Saccharomyces cerevisiae S288C: one gene and its partners. Changing the gene in region 3 together with the main gene of any one other region gives a genetic interaction. Each region holds a gene or a part of one and is shown on either strand. Other genes may lie near its edges.

Region 1 (4,271 bases), on a different chromosome or scaffold from region 3:
CATTGGGTCTCTGGACTTAGCTATGGTATTTAGTAGATGTCGCGCTTCAGGCCAAGGGTCCGCTATCGAATCAGCCCTTATTAACACTATTGCGTTACATATTACGCACAGGTATAATAAGAGTGTTATCATAGTTTGCTTATAATATTCGGCAGGGGTTAAAGAGTCACGGTGAAATTTGAATTTCTAATCGATTGTTCTTTTTTATTTTGCTGAAGTGCGAGTTCGTTACTTGCTTACTTACTGCGATTTGCCGTTAAAGTAAAGCCCGCTGTCAACTTTTCCGAAGAAGCGCCAAGAAGGCATACAAGTCAGCAGAAGTTGAAAACTGTAAAAGAAGTACCCACGAGAAGACGGACCCCCTAGTATTAAGTTTAAATTTTTATTTCTTCCAGTTACTGCTCTACATCAATGTAAACTCGCTAATATATATATATATATATATATATATGTCGTACATGTATGTGTACCCATGACAAAAAAGTATATATAGGACAGTATCAAAGATCAATTAAGCTTACACCTTGGTCAGGAGTATATCCCTGTTGCTGCTGTTGCTGCTGCTGCTGCTGCTGTTGTTGTTGATGAGGTTGAATGTATTGTGGTTGTTGTTGATAATTTTGAGTGTATTGTGGTTGTTGTTGGAAGTTTTGGGCGTATTGAGGTTGCTGTTGTTGGAAATTTTGCATGTATTGCGGTTGTTGCTGTGGCTGTTGTTGCTGTTGTGGCTGAGAGTAGCTTATACCAGTAGGATTTTGCTGAGGAGAATTAGTAGGAGGACTTTGAGGTTGGTTACCAAACCCGTACCCTGTTTGCGTGGGCACGATATTTGTGCTTGGTAAACCAGTGTATTGGTTGCTTAAGAAAGGGTTGTTCTTGGGTTCATTAGTAACCTGTTTGTAGCCTGTACCCTGAGAATTTATAAATGTGCCTGTCTTTGTATGTTGTGCAGGAATACGTGCCTCTCCAGTGTTACCAAAAGTATCTATCCCTGTACCAGTTGCTAACAAGGTATTCAAGTCGCTGTATTTATCCGATATAGACTGGTTCCCAGTCCTTGTTTGCTTCAAGGGTTGTTGTTGCTGGAACTGGGCTTGCTGTTGTAGCAATTGGGCTTGCTGCTGTTGTAATTGGGCTTCTTCTTGCCTCTTCTGGTGTAATTGAGCTTCCTCTTGTTGTTGTCTTTGCAATTGTTGTAGCTTCAATTGTTCTTGTTGTTGTCTAGCTTCTTCTTGTTGTCTTTGCAATTGAGCATGCTGTTGCTCCTGCTTTTGTCTTTCAAGATTATCCATGGAAAACGGATTATTAGAACCTGTAGGCAAAGGTTGTTGAAAATCAGCGGGCTGTTGTTGTTGTTGTTGCATATTAGCGGCTGTTTGTTGCTGTTGCAAGGCAGAAGCGGCGGCCGCAGCTTGTTGTTGCTGCTGAAAATATTGTTGTTCAGCAAGCTGCTGTTGTTCTTGCTGCTGGTCCAGCCATCTTTGCTGAGCCATTGCTTGTTCCTGGTCCTGTTGGTACTGATACTGTAAGTATTCATCTTGGGAGATTGGATTACCGAAAATGTCGTAGTACGCTGGTTGTTGTTGTGGTTGTTGTTGTTGTAAAGGAGCTTGAAATTGAGACAGAGACTGTTGTTGCTTCTGTAATCTCTGTAGTTCCTGCAATTGCTTCAACTCCTCTTCTTCTTTACTTAGTTGTAAGGCAGCTTGGAAGTCAGGATCTTCATCGTCGTACTGGGCCAGTTCTCTTCTACGTTGTTCATCTTCTTGAGCAGTAATTCTGCTCTCCTCTAGGGCCTTTTCCAAATCGTCCTGGTAAGAGGGAGAAGAATCGTGTGGGTTGCTCCTTGTTCTTTGTCTTCTTGGCCTTGGCCTAGCAGCTCTGTTCGCCCTTCTGTTTCTTGTATTCATAGACCTCTCTTCGCGTAGCCTTTCTTCATCATTCAACAAAGAGACGAGTTCTTTAGCCTTTACTCTGATAATTTGTCCCTCGTCAAATCCGGACTCATTTTCGTGTCTGAATTCCCTTAATGTCTTAATTACGTAAAAATTCTCTCTGCACCATAGCACACAGTTCTCACTCCCGAAACGAACAAGATAGTCCAAAACGGTCAGCGATTTGGCAACGTGTCTCCAGTATTTGCCCTTATCGTTCAGCCTCTTGTCTAACATATCCATAATCTCGAAGAAGTCCACCGAATCGTAAGATCTCTGTGCCAAATCGTCGAGAGTGTCTATCGATGGAGTCCTCGAGTCGTTCGCCGTGGCATCTCTCACAAGCACTTGTGTGGATGAGTAGCCCTTCATCATGTTCTTTGCAGAACGAACAAACTGCTTAGACATTACTTACAAAACAAATACACTTAATAGGGGTGTGTCAAAATAAACAAAAGAAGATGATAAGAATTTGTGAAGGTCAAACTAGAATGTGAGCGTATTCGCAGTTGTAGGCAAAACAGAACAAAATAATTAAATAAACGAACGCCTCCTTCAACAAAGGTCAATAATGTAGCAAAATATTGGGAGTGTGTCAATCCTTGAAAGGGTCCGTAACTAAACTCTTCTTTCTTTAGTTTCCACTACTTTTTTTTTCACCCTTCGCCGCAGGGTAATTTCTTGTAGGCCATGTATATACGATTAATCGTTACACATAAAATGCGGTTTGGACAAACAATACAATGGATCGTGCGGGATACTGCCAGACTACGCTATGCTCGACTGTAGAATACTGAGTGGTGATATCGCCCCTTCGGTATTGTGATCTTGGGCGCACTTGTTTATCTAACAGGTGCGGGTGCAAGTTTACTAGAGCATCGTCGTATGATGGGGAAAGTCAGGGTGTATGTGCCCGTCGATTGAGCACCAAGACCCGTTGCCATGTGCATATGTTATTGTACCCATAGAGGCAGTCCACGTTCGGCCATCTATCTATCTTTAGATAAACGGATCATTGGCGATACCGCCTGGCCATTTGCACCTGCTCGGGGTCGGCGTTATCGGACCGTGGAATTTGAGCCATGTAACACACGGTTTCAAACATGGGCTAATGACCTTCATAAGTAGGACGATTTACACCTGAGTTGGGTGTGATGGAGCAATGGCCAGGTGCCCCTCTCGCCCTCTTGTGTTTGTATATAAGAGCAACCTCCTCATACTCTCTTGCTTAGTCTAAGGAGGAGCTATTTAACAGTGCACAATATAACACAGCATATATACACACACACACATAAAATAACCGCAAAAATGGAGGACAGTAGCAATACAATCATACCCTCACCCACTGACGTGGGGGCGCTAGCAAACAGAATCAACTTTCAAACCAGAGATGCCCACAATAAAATCAATACCTTCATGGGCATAAAGATGGCCATCGCCATGAGACATGGCTTTATATACAGACAGGGTATTCTGGCGTACTATTATGTGTTCGATGCCATCGAGCAAGAGATAGATCGCCTACTGAATGACCCCGTAACGGAGGAGGAGCTGCAAACTTCGACCATTCTGAAGCAGTTTTGGCTCGAAGATTTTAGAAGATCTACGCAGATCTATAAGGACCTGAAGCTGCTATACTCAAACACGTTTAAAAGCACAGAATCATTAAACGAATTCCTGGCTACGTTCCAGAAGCCACCGCTACTACAGCAGTTTATCAATAACATCCACGAAAACATACACAAGGAGCCATGCACCATTCTTTCTTACTGTCACGTTCTGTACTTGGCGCTTTTCGCCGGCGGCAAGCTAATACGATCGAATTTGTACAGAAGACTGGGGCTCTTCCCCAACTTCGAGAAGCTATCACAGAAGGAACTGGTCAAAAAGGGCACAAACTTCTTCACCTTCAGCGATCTGGGTCCCACTGAAGAAACACGCTTGAAATGGGAATACAAGAAGAACTATGAGCTGGCCACCAGGACGGAATTGACCGAAGCACAAAAGTTGCAGATCATTAGCGTCGCAGAAGGCATTTTTGATTGGAACTTCAACATCGTTGCAGAAATTGGAGAGTTGAATCGTCGCGAGTTAATGGGCAAGTTCAGCTTCAAGTGTATTACGTACTTGTACGAAGAATGGATGTTCAACAAGGATTCTGCTACTAGAAGAGCACTCCACACGGTCATGCTGCTGGTGCTTTCTATTATCGCGATCTGGGTTCTTTACTTCTTGGTAAAGAGTTTTCTTAGCATAGTATAACGTATAAAAAAAAAAGTCTAAATACAAACATAATATATACATGAAATAATATCAAAATATGAAGAATAGGGAAGG
Region 2 (4,457 bases), on a different chromosome or scaffold from region 3:
CCCTGTTCAACAGTTTAGCTAATGGAGACTGTGAACCAAAATCTTGTCCAAACTTCCAAAAGGACCCTGACATATTTTTTCCTAATTATTAAATGGGCAAAACGATAAACGCCACTATTCTTAAACACTAACTAAAACGAATTTTTCAGAATCTCTAATCAACTAAAATTAGCATGTATTACCTCAAGCTAAAAATATTTAAAGATCTTAGTAAAATATATCTTTTGCGTACCTTTCCCAAATACACAAGCTAAACTACCCTTATCAAGCAGATCTGGTGAAATTTTAAACAAAAATAGTCCCGTTCGATGACTTCGAGCGATGCCCAAGCTTTTCTCATTCTCTTCGGAGTGTTTTGGCGTTAGCCGTCAATCCCTCGCAAAAAAAATTTTCTTCCCAGTTCAAAATGTAAAAAAAAAAATAAAAGGTATACGGTTACCCTTACCCTCAGTCCATCCAACCGTAGTGGTTATATAATAATACTAAGAGCACCGTTTTGTTCAAGGTTGTACTGTGTGATCTAGGTCGGCTATCCACGCAAGCATGGCATCGATCATGACCATGATTTCGTCTCCTATGGAAGGTTGAAGAAGGATCTTATTACGCAGTATATGCGTCCCCAATTCGTTGCATAGCTTTTCTAGCAGTTGCAGATTAAATATCTGGCAATAATTATAATACCTGCAATCATATGATATTTTCTTAATTAATAAACTTATTATGGTATCTGTGTCTAGTAATGTAACCTCTTGAATATTTTTTGGAGGTTGCAGGTATATTTTTAGCAGCTGCTGGCAACTTACGGGGTCGAATCGAGCTACTATGCTTGTTCTTAGACAAGCTACGGCATCTTCCCAATGCCAGGTACGCAGCATGATCAAACCCAAAAGTTCCCACTCTAATCCGCTGTGTTTTTCATCTTTATTGCTTAGGCTAATCTTGCTCAATTTCAAGTCTTGATATAAATCTAAAAATAAATCATCTAGCCACCCTTCACAAAACCTTTTCTTTCGGGATTCCATCGGTATATGACCGTTTTCATCGATAATGTTGTTAGAAGCTTGATAGAATTCAGTTTCCATCATGAAAGCTTCTGTTCGGATGTTTAATAAGCCATTCCAACCAATTTTGTTCACAATTTCCATTAATAACCCATATATTTTACCACTAAACCATCCCAATTGTTTGCCGATCGTATTCCTTGCTATTAAATTGATATTTTTTATGTTTTTGACCTCTTGAGGGGAGACATAATTAATCAGATTCACAGATTGTGGACCACAAATCGGACCCAACTTTATCGCAATATCATCCCAGATTTCCTTTGTATAACCGATTTTTTTTTCGTTTATCATTGCGATTCTTCCAAAAATTTGCCGTTTTAACTCATCCTCTTTCCAATTCCTCAACGTTCCCGAGAGATTCGTGAATTCCATTGCAGTCAAGTCGTAGTGTTCGCGGGTACCATTCAATGGCTTTTTATAATAATTGGAGGTAAGAAACCTACTGTACATTGTTTCCAGGTGTCCATCATTTTTGCGCAAACGAGGCATTGAATTTATTGCGAAGAGAGCCTTTTCATACTCCTCTTTTTTGATGTGGCATCTCGCTAGGTTGTACCAAGATTCAAAAGAGTCTAAGGCTAGTTCGGTTGATGTGTTAGAGACGCCTAATGCTAGTTCGTAATCACCCCTGTTTAACAAAAAATTTGTTTGAATGTTCAGCAAGTCACTCATGCAATTCATTAATCGTGCTGAATCAGCATCGCGAGGCGGTAAATCATTTAGCAGAGATAAAAGGGGGTCGAGCGTCTCATTTAAAATAGTTATCATGTCTAACTCCTTTGTTTCTATGTGATCTAGAATTGTGATCATAGCCGTCTTGTAGTATATGTCATGGATTGGATCTTTCTTGGTAAGTCCTTTCAGGTAGTCGATTGTAAAATCCACTAGGCTTGGCGTGATTGCAATAAAACTTTTTAAACTATACATTAAATAGTTATTGACAATGGTGGCTTGCATACTCTTGGTAGAATCCCACCCGCAATTCAGTGACCGTGGTAAGAATCGGCAGAGTAATTCTATGATCTTTTTGCAAGAGGAGATAGTATCTTTTCCAACGTAGAATGGACACTCTACTAAACCGGGAGGTTTTAACTCTGGATTAGTATTTGTTATTATCGCTCGGATGACAGAACTTGCGAACGTTTCTTCCCACATTTTTTCTGTCATGGTCAGGTCAGTGGTTTCCTTGTTACAGTCAATTGCCGTTGTCTGGAAAGTATCGTCAGCATCGTATCTAATACGGATGTCTAGATTGCTGAAAAAATTAAAACAGCAATAAGTCAATATGATATTATTCGATATATTTTTGGAAATCCGCTTACTCGATTTTAGCACTTCAAGAAACTCTACGGGCATTGCAGGACCGGAAACTTCGATCCCTGTAACGTAGAAATATTCACCAAACTCTTCTTTTTCATGTTTGTTTAAGTAGGACATGTGAACAATCTCAATGGGACCTAGTCCAACATTGCCAGAAGAAATTAAATCCTTGATTAAATGCGTTCTATTGTGCAGACACTCACCAAACTGCCTTTCCATAATTCGTGGACAACTTTTAAATATGTCTCGATTGAGGAATTGATAACCCTTTTGTACTGAAGGTGAGTTCCCAGGTGTATAATCGCCACCAGGTATTTCATTTTGCTTTTTGGTTTCCGATGGCCAAAACAAATTCATAAGGGCAATAGATGTAATCCTTTTTTGCACCAACAGCTTAAGAAAGGTGTTTGCTTTTAATGTGAGTTAAGTAATGTAATGATTTGTTAAGATCCTCTATTCCTTTTTGAGTATCTATTTATTTTCCTAAATTCTTCAAGGCTATTTTTACCATGAATCCGCTAAGATCTGTTTGGGTTCCGATTTTTCGAAGACACACAAAAATAATAGCCGGTTGCTTTCTAACACTACAGAAAGAGGTTTTTTCGAAAGAGTCTATTTCCTATATGCTAAAGTAGAGTTATGATTTCTTTATATTGAGTATGTATTGAATTATTTTCCAAAAAATCAACACCAGGTGAATACGGGGGTGGAATTGACTATTTGTAGCCGCTCTGCTATCACTGTTTTATTAGCAAATGGGTGCAGAGTGGAATCATAGTATACAGGATTACTATTGCTTTGGTTATGTGCATGAAATGGAATTGTGCTTGGGGTGCTAGGGAGTACCATTGGTGAAGTGGAATATGATCCAATAGGTTCGTCTATGGCGTTTTTGAAAATAGAAACTGGAGGTGGGCAACAGGGAACTTGCATCTTCTCATCTATTACCTGGCACCTTGTCCTTCTAACCAATTCCAAGGGGCCTTGTCGTGGGTCTTTCAATGTTTCGACAACGTTGAACGCCTGTCCTTTTAATACTGCCCATTGCTTCTTCCACATTCGGACGTTAAAATCTTGGTCCCTGCTAAATAGGGCCAAGAATTCTTGGTACGACTCTTCCCACCAATTAGTGCTTGTCAATATCGGTAGGAAATGAGATCTCATTTGCTCAGAAAATGGTTTGGCTAGTAGTTGCAGAGGCAAATACAACCAGCCATATGGGTACAGACGCCACTCATCAGGATGCTTCCAGGGAAAGGACAACCCATTGTCGATGGCGGCTAACTTGAGTCTCCACTTATTGTTTGAAAGTTTGATTAGTTTCACCATCCAATTGTCTAGACCTCTATCTGTGTTTCTCATTATATAATCAAGGATAATTAGTTTTTCTAGTTCCAATCTGAACTGACTCAAACTTGATTCTGTCCATTCAAATTTCGAATTTTCTTCAGATTCCGTCGAAATTGGAGAGGAATTTATTTGCTTGGACGGTTCTGTCTCATCTGTTAGGTTCCTGGTTGTCTCTGGTTTATGATTGATATCTTCGCCGGATGACTTACGATGAAATGAATGTTTAACATCTGAATACATCCCAGGTAATGGGTATTTATGAAAGAACTCATCGGCGTTGATGTACTCCTTCAAAAAAAGTTGGAAAGAACCCAGCTTTTTTTGTTTCTTCTTCTGAAGGTTGTATCCCAATACCCATTTTTTTCTATTATCATAAAAATTAAAAGACTCTATAGATGCAGTATCTGTATAGGGTACTAGATGCGTTTCCAGTCGCCTATCCAACAAACTAGCCGCACTTTCACAGATGTACCCGAGGTTTGGAATCAGACAACTTCTGCCAAACAGACATGGGAAAAACGTGCGGTGTGCCCATTTGGTCCATTTGGGAGAAAATGGGCCATATGGTTCCTCATCCTTGGGCTTGAAGACCCCCACCGGAACGCTTTCGTCGGCCCGTGTTCCATACACAAAGTACGACCCACTTGAGCCAGTTTGGATTCTCTCGAGTTCGCGTCCAAATGTCTCTACAGCCTCAATACAGTCAGAAACCAAATGGTTGAA
Region 3 (6,377 bases):
ATCGCAACCATCTTATCCTCTTGTGAAGAGCTCATCGATGGACTCACTAATTCGTCACCTGGTAACAGTCCTTCACTTCTACCCTCATGGTTTTCATGAGCATCCTCTTTCTCCTCCTCCTGGCTCGATGAGATCTCATTACTGCCGTCCATGGCATTGAGGAGCGAAGACGATGGCGACTCTATTATGGAGAACCTGCCCGTTGCGGTATGTTTATATTTCTTTGGCGTCGTGAGATCCATGTTTGTGAATGATGGTGATTCGTCATATTCAAAGTTATCTAAATCTGTGGGCTTCCTCTTCCTTGGAGTTTCATTTTTCTTGTCAAAATTTTGCACCTTGGTACTTTCGCCCGCCTGCCTATCTTCGTCATCATCTTCATCGTCATCTGTGCTGCCCATGTGATCATCATCCTCATCATCTTCATCTGCACCATCTTCACGATAATCGTCGTCGTTGTCATCGTCATCTTCATCATCGCTATTATTCTTCGTAACATCGCTCTGACAATTTTGTCCTTTATTATCGCTATTATCATCGTTTATCCCGCAATCATCCTCATAGTATTCTTCCACCATGAAATTTTCATCTTTCAGCAAAACATTACGCTTACTCTTATTCCCCATCTCCCTATCTTCATCACCATCAAAAAATCCTTCCTCTTCATCCTCGTCATCGTAGCCTAGGTTGACACTCATTATAGAGTCGATTTCTCTAATAAAGGGTGCCAACTCCCTAGTATTGTTTTCGGTCATCCACGGTATCTTCATTAGTGAGACATCTTCTTGATTCTTGATGAAGTTAATATCTTTCTCCTTATCGTCCTCTTGCTTCTCACCGTGTGTTTTATCAAAAACCTGCCAACTGCTAGTTACCATGCAACATTTTTCTAGCGCATTTACAAACTTCTCCAATTCATTGATCTTGTAATATTTGAAAGGATCATAACACAATTCGCATATCCGAAGTATTGTGAATGGAAATGTATGATTTTGTAAAAAATTATCATTCAGAAACTTACCCAGCCAATTTAATCTAGTAACGAGATTTCTCGCATCGTTCATTTCATTCTTAAGGTTTATAAATAGGTCAAACGGTATTGTTTCAGTGATATGCCGGATTAAATCAGGCAAAACTTGCTCGGGACCCGCCGTCACCAATCGCGTCTTGTCGCCCTGTTTCACCACATCGCTAAGTAATTCATAAAGGCTGATAGACTTGATACCCATCATATTATTATCCACATCATCCAACATCGTCGAGCTCATAGCTTTTTATTGTGCTTTGACAATCGATGAGAACACCAACAAAAAATGATAATAGGTATTGTTAGCTGTGTCAAAATACATGCTTTTGATCGCGAAATGAAAAACTACACAATCATTACCCGTCGGCGCTTCGGAGGGGGATTAGATTTCTCCTATAATCAAAATCTTCAACTATTACAAACCCCTTTTCAGAAGCACATTGAAAACAACACACAACAGAGCACTTTGTGATAGGCAATAGAGTGCTTTTAAATAGAGAATTACTGGTTCTCGCGAAATAATATAGCGCGTTGAAACTAATAAATAGATTCGTGAAGCTCTAGATCTATCTTTTTTCCTGTTTTTATCTGTGTGTTTTCAATAGGATTCGAACGATATAGGCCATGGCATCTATTACTTTTAGAACTCCATTATCCTCTCAGGAACAAGCCTTTTATAATCAGAAATTTCACCAATTGGATACGGAAGATCTCGGGGTGGTCACTGGCGAGGCAGTCAGACCGCTCTTCGCGTCTTCTGGTCTTCCAGGGCAATTACTATCGCAAGTGTGGGCTACCGTCGATATAGACAATAAAGGGTTTTTGAACTTGAACGAGTTTTCGGCTGCTTTGAGAATGATCGCTCAATTGCAAAATGCTCCCAACCAACCAATTTCCGCTGCCCTATATGAGAGCACACCTACTCAACTGGCTTCTTTTTCTATAAATCAGAACCCAGCCCCTATGCAAAGCGGTAGTGCAACCGGCAATACAAACAACACTGATATTCCTGCCTTATCCTCAAATGATATTGCTAAATTTTCACAACTGTTTGATAGGACAGCAAAGGGTGCTCAAACTGTTGCTGGTGATAAAGCCAAGGATATATTTTTAAAGGCAAGATTACCAAATCAAACTTTAGGTGAAATTTGGGCTCTTTGTGATAGAGACGCATCCGGTGTCTTAGACAAATCTGAGTTTATAATGGCCATGTATTTGATCCAACTATGTATGTCTCATCATCCTAGTATGAACACACCACCGGCCGTGTTGCCTACTCAGCTGTGGGATTCTATTCGTTTAGAACCTGTTGTTGTTAATCAACCAAACAGGACTACTCCTTTGAGTGCTAACTCCACTGGCGTATCTTCACTAACAAGACACTCTACTATATCACGTCTATCTACTGGTGCATTCAGTAATGCTGCTTCAGATTGGTCTTTAAGTTTTGAAAAAAAACAACAGTTTGATGCAATTTTTGATTCATTAGATAAGCAACATGCTGGTTCGCTAAGCTCTGCTGTGTTGGTTCCATTCTTCTTATCCTCTAGATTAAACCAAGAGACGTTAGCCACCATCTGGGACTTAGCTGACATCCACAACAATGCTGAATTCACCAAATTGGAATTTGCTATTGCCATGTTCTTAATTCAAAAAAAGAATGCTGGTGTCGAATTACCGGATGTTATCCCCAATGAATTATTACAGTCCCCCGCTTTAGGACTTTATCCGCCAAACCCACTTCCTCAACAACAAAGTGCACCTCAAATTGCCATCCCCTCAAGAGCAAGTAAGCCTTCTTTACAGGATATGCCACACCAAGTTTCTGCCCCAGCAGTTAATACTCAACCAACAGTTCCACAAGTTCTTCCTCAAAACTCAAATAACGGTTCTTTGAATGATTTACTGGCTTTGAACCCTTCATTCAGCTCTCCTTCTCCCACTAAAGCACAAACTGTGGTTCAAAACAACACAAATAATAGTTTTTCATATGATAATAACAATGGCCAAGCAACATTACAACAACAACAGCCACAGCAGCCTCCACCTTTAACTCACTCCTCCTCTGGATTGAAGAAATTTACTCCCACCTCAAACTTCGGTCAAAGTATAATCAAGGAAGAACCAGAGGAACAAGAGCAACTAAGGGAATCCAGTGATACTTTTAGCGCTCAGCCTCCGCCAGTTCCAAAACATGCTTCAAGTCCAGTCAAACGTACAGCTTCAACAACACTGCCACAAGTTCCCAACTTTTCTGTGTTTAGCATGCCAGCAGGCGCTGCCACTAGCGCTGCCACTGGTGCTGCTGTAGGCGCCGCAGTGGGTGCTGCTGCTTTAGGCGCATCCGCTTTTTCAAGATCTTCCAATAATGCATTCAAGAACCAGGATTTATTTGCAGATGGTGAAGCTTCTGCTCAGTTATCTAATGCTACCACAGAAATGGCTAATTTATCTAACCAAGTAAACTCCCTGTCCAAGCAGGCAAGTATAACTAATGACAAAAAGTCAAGAGCGACCCAGGAGTTGAAACGTGTTACTGAGATGAAAAATTCCATTCAAATCAAATTGAACAATTTACGTTCTACCCATGACCAAAATGTTAAACAAACGGAACAACTGGAAGCACAAGTACTTCAAGTAAACAAAGAAAACGAAACATTAGCGCAACAGTTGGCTGTATCCGAAGCAAACTACCATGCCGCTGAGTCCAAACTCAATGAACTAACTACTGATTTGCAAGAATCTCAAACAAAGAACGCAGAATTAAAAGAACAAATTACGAATTTGAACTCGATGACAGCCTCCTTACAGTCACAATTAAATGAAAAACAACAACAGGTCAAGCAAGAAAGGTCAATGGTAGATGTTAATTCAAAACAGCTAGAGTTGAATCAAGTCACAGTAGCAAACTTGCAGAAGGAAATCGATGGTCTTGGCGAAAAGATAAGCGTTTACTTAACTAAACAAAAGGAGTTAAATGACTACCAAAAGACCGTGGAGGAGCAACACGCACAATTACAAGCTAAATACCAGGATCTGTCCAACAAGGATACTGATTTAACGGACCGTGAAAAACAATTGGAAGAACGTAACAGACAAATTGAAGAACAAGAAAATCTCTACCATCAGCACGTTTCTAAATTGCAAGAAATGTTCGACGATCTATCACAGAGAAAAGCTTCTTTTGAAAAAGCTGATCAAGAGTTAAAGGAGAGAAACATCGAATACGCTAACAATGTGAGAGAGTTATCCGAAAGACAAATGAATTTAGCTATGGGACAATTACCTGAGGATGCTAAGGACATTATTGCGAAAAGCGCCTCTAATACAGATACAACAACCAAAGAAGCCACATCAAGAGGAAATGTTCACGAAGACACTGTATCCAAATTTGTCGAAACTACTGTTGAGAATTCAAACTTGAATGTTAATCGGGTTAAAGACGATGAAGAAAAGACAGAAAGAACCGAAAGTGACGTATTTGATAGAGACGTTCCAACTTTGGGATCTCAAAGCGATAGTGAAAATGCCAATACAAACAACGGCACCCAGTCAGGAAATGAGACAGCAAATCCAAACTTAACTGAAACATTAAGTGATAGGTTTGATGGTGATTTGAATGAATATGGTATTCCAAGAAGTCAATCCTTGACATCGTCTGTTGCAAACAATGCTCCTCAATCCGTAAGAGATGATGTTGAGCTACCGGAAACGTTGGAAGAACGTGACACCATCAATAATACTGCGAATAGAGATAATACTGGAAACTTATCTCACATTCCTGGTGAATGGGAAGCTACCCCAGCTACCGCTTCTACTGATGTTTTGAGCAACGAAACTACAGAAGTTATTGAAGACGGAAGTACCACAAAAAGGGCTAATTCAAATGAAGACGGTGAGTCGGTCAGTTCTATCCAAGAATCTCCAAAAATCTCTGCTCAACCAAAAGCAAAGACAATAAATGAAGAGTTTCCACCAATTCAGGAATTGCATATTGACGAAAGCGATTCATCCTCTTCAGACGATGATGAGTTTGAAGATACCAGAGAAATTCCATCAGCAACAGTGAAGACCCTTCAAACTCCCTATAATGCCCAGCCCACATCAAGTTTGGAAATCCACACGGAACAAGTCATAAAATATCCCGCTCCAGGCACTTCTCCTTCACATAATGAAGGTAACTCAAAAAAGGCAAGCACCAATTCCATTTTGCCTGTTAAGGACGAATTTGATGATGAATTCGCAGGGTTAGAACAAGCGGCTGTGGAGGAAGATAATGGTGCTGATTCGGAATCTGAATTTGAGAATGTTGCGAATGCTGGGTCGATGGAGCAATTTGAAACCATAGACCATAAGGATCTCGATGACGAACTACAAATGAACGCTTTTACAGGGACGTTAACTAGTTCCTCTAACCCAACTATCCCAAAACCACAAGTACAACAACAGTCAACCAGTGACCCTGCTCAAGTAAGCAACGATGAGTGGGACGAGATTTTTGCTGGATTTGGTAACTCCAAAGCTGAACCAACCAAAGTAGCTACCCCAAGCATTCCACAACAACCAATTCCATTGAAGAATGATCCTATCGTTGATGCTAGCTTGTCAAAAGGTCCAATAGTTAACCGCGGGGTTGCAACTACTCCAAAGTCTCTAGCCGTCGAGGAGTTAAGTGGCATGGGATTTACTGAAGAAGAAGCGCACAATGCCTTGGAAAAGTGCAACTGGGATCTAGAAGCCGCCACTAACTTTTTGTTGGATAGTGCTTAGTCTGTAATGGACCATTTCGTCTTCTTTTTGTACTTCTTCCTCGAAGCTGAATCATATTTACCCTTTTCCAGGATCGTCCTTGTATATTGTGAATTATTCTAAAAGTAGAATATGTTGTACTTTAAAATTGTTATAGTTATCATCATCTATTTTTCCATTTTATAAAATTTTTACGTTAGACAGTTATGTATTGAAACTGCTTCATAAGTTTTGAAAATCATCCCAGTTTGGTAAATACACTAACCAAAAAAAAAAAAAGCTCTACCACATAATCTTTGGGCGTATTACAACATGGGAAACACGACATTATTGAAAATACAAAAAAAGTAAAGTAAGACTCGTTCAGGGCATAAGTCAATGGCCCTGTAAGAAAAAACAAAGTAGCTAGGCTCATAAGAGATTATCTGTTTAATTTTCTTTGAATAAAAAAAAGTATAAATCGATAAGATAAAATACCACAATGAAAAAATAAAGGCTACTTGAAAACAACTGGACCAAACCAAAACCCAATTAACCCAGACCAGTAATGAAACACGAATAGAAATATACCCAATCAAAATAGAAGGAAGAAAGACCAGAT

The links. Genes that interact genetically often act in the same process or in processes that back each other up.
Region 1: mutations in EDE1 (region 3) and ENT2 together harm fitness more than expected from each alone (negative genetic interaction), as found in Saccharomyces cerevisiae (4 studies listed by BioGRID, with this or other methods).
Region 2: mutations in EDE1 (region 3) and CHS6 together harm fitness more than expected from each alone (negative genetic interaction), as found in Saccharomyces cerevisiae (3 studies listed by BioGRID).

What each region holds. Positions count from the first base shown.
Region 1 is NC_001144.5:552,649-556,919, reverse strand, and holds ENT2 (epsin), read right to left. Parts: upstream 2,343-4,271; coding exon 501-2,342; downstream 1-500. Other genes in the region: ubiquitin ligase complex subunit HRD3, read right to left, coding at 1-132; HMX1 (Hmx1p), read left to right, coding at 3,243-4,196. UniProt on the Saccharomyces cerevisiae protein: Binds to membranes enriched in phosphatidylinositol 3,5-bisphosphate (PtdIns(3,5)P2) and phosphatidylinositol 4,5-bisphosphate (PtdIns(4,5)P2). Required for endocytosis and localization of actin.
Region 2 is NC_001142.9:237,698-242,154, reverse strand, and holds CHS6 (Chs6p), read right to left. Parts: upstream 2,742-4,457; coding exon 501-2,741; downstream 1-500. Other genes in the region: SAP185 (Sap185p), read right to left, coding at 1-73; 1-phosphatidylinositol 4-kinase LSB6, read right to left, coding at 3,069-4,457. UniProt on the Saccharomyces cerevisiae protein: Member of the CHS5-ARF1P-binding proteins (CHAPS) which mediates export of specific cargo proteins, including chitin synthase CHS3.
Region 3 is NC_001134.8:127,315-133,691, reverse strand, and holds EDE1 (Ede1p), read left to right. Parts: upstream 1-1,651; coding exon 1,652-5,797; downstream 5,798-6,377. Other genes in the region: PSY4 (Psy4p), read right to left, coding at 1-1,268; RRT1 (Rrt1p), read right to left, coding at 6,082-6,377. UniProt on the Saccharomyces cerevisiae protein: Functions at the internalization step of the clathrin-mediated endocytosis (CME) as an early-acting scaffold protein. Requires clathrin adapter proteins, ENT1/2 and YAP1801/2, for normal spatiotemporal dynamics and viability.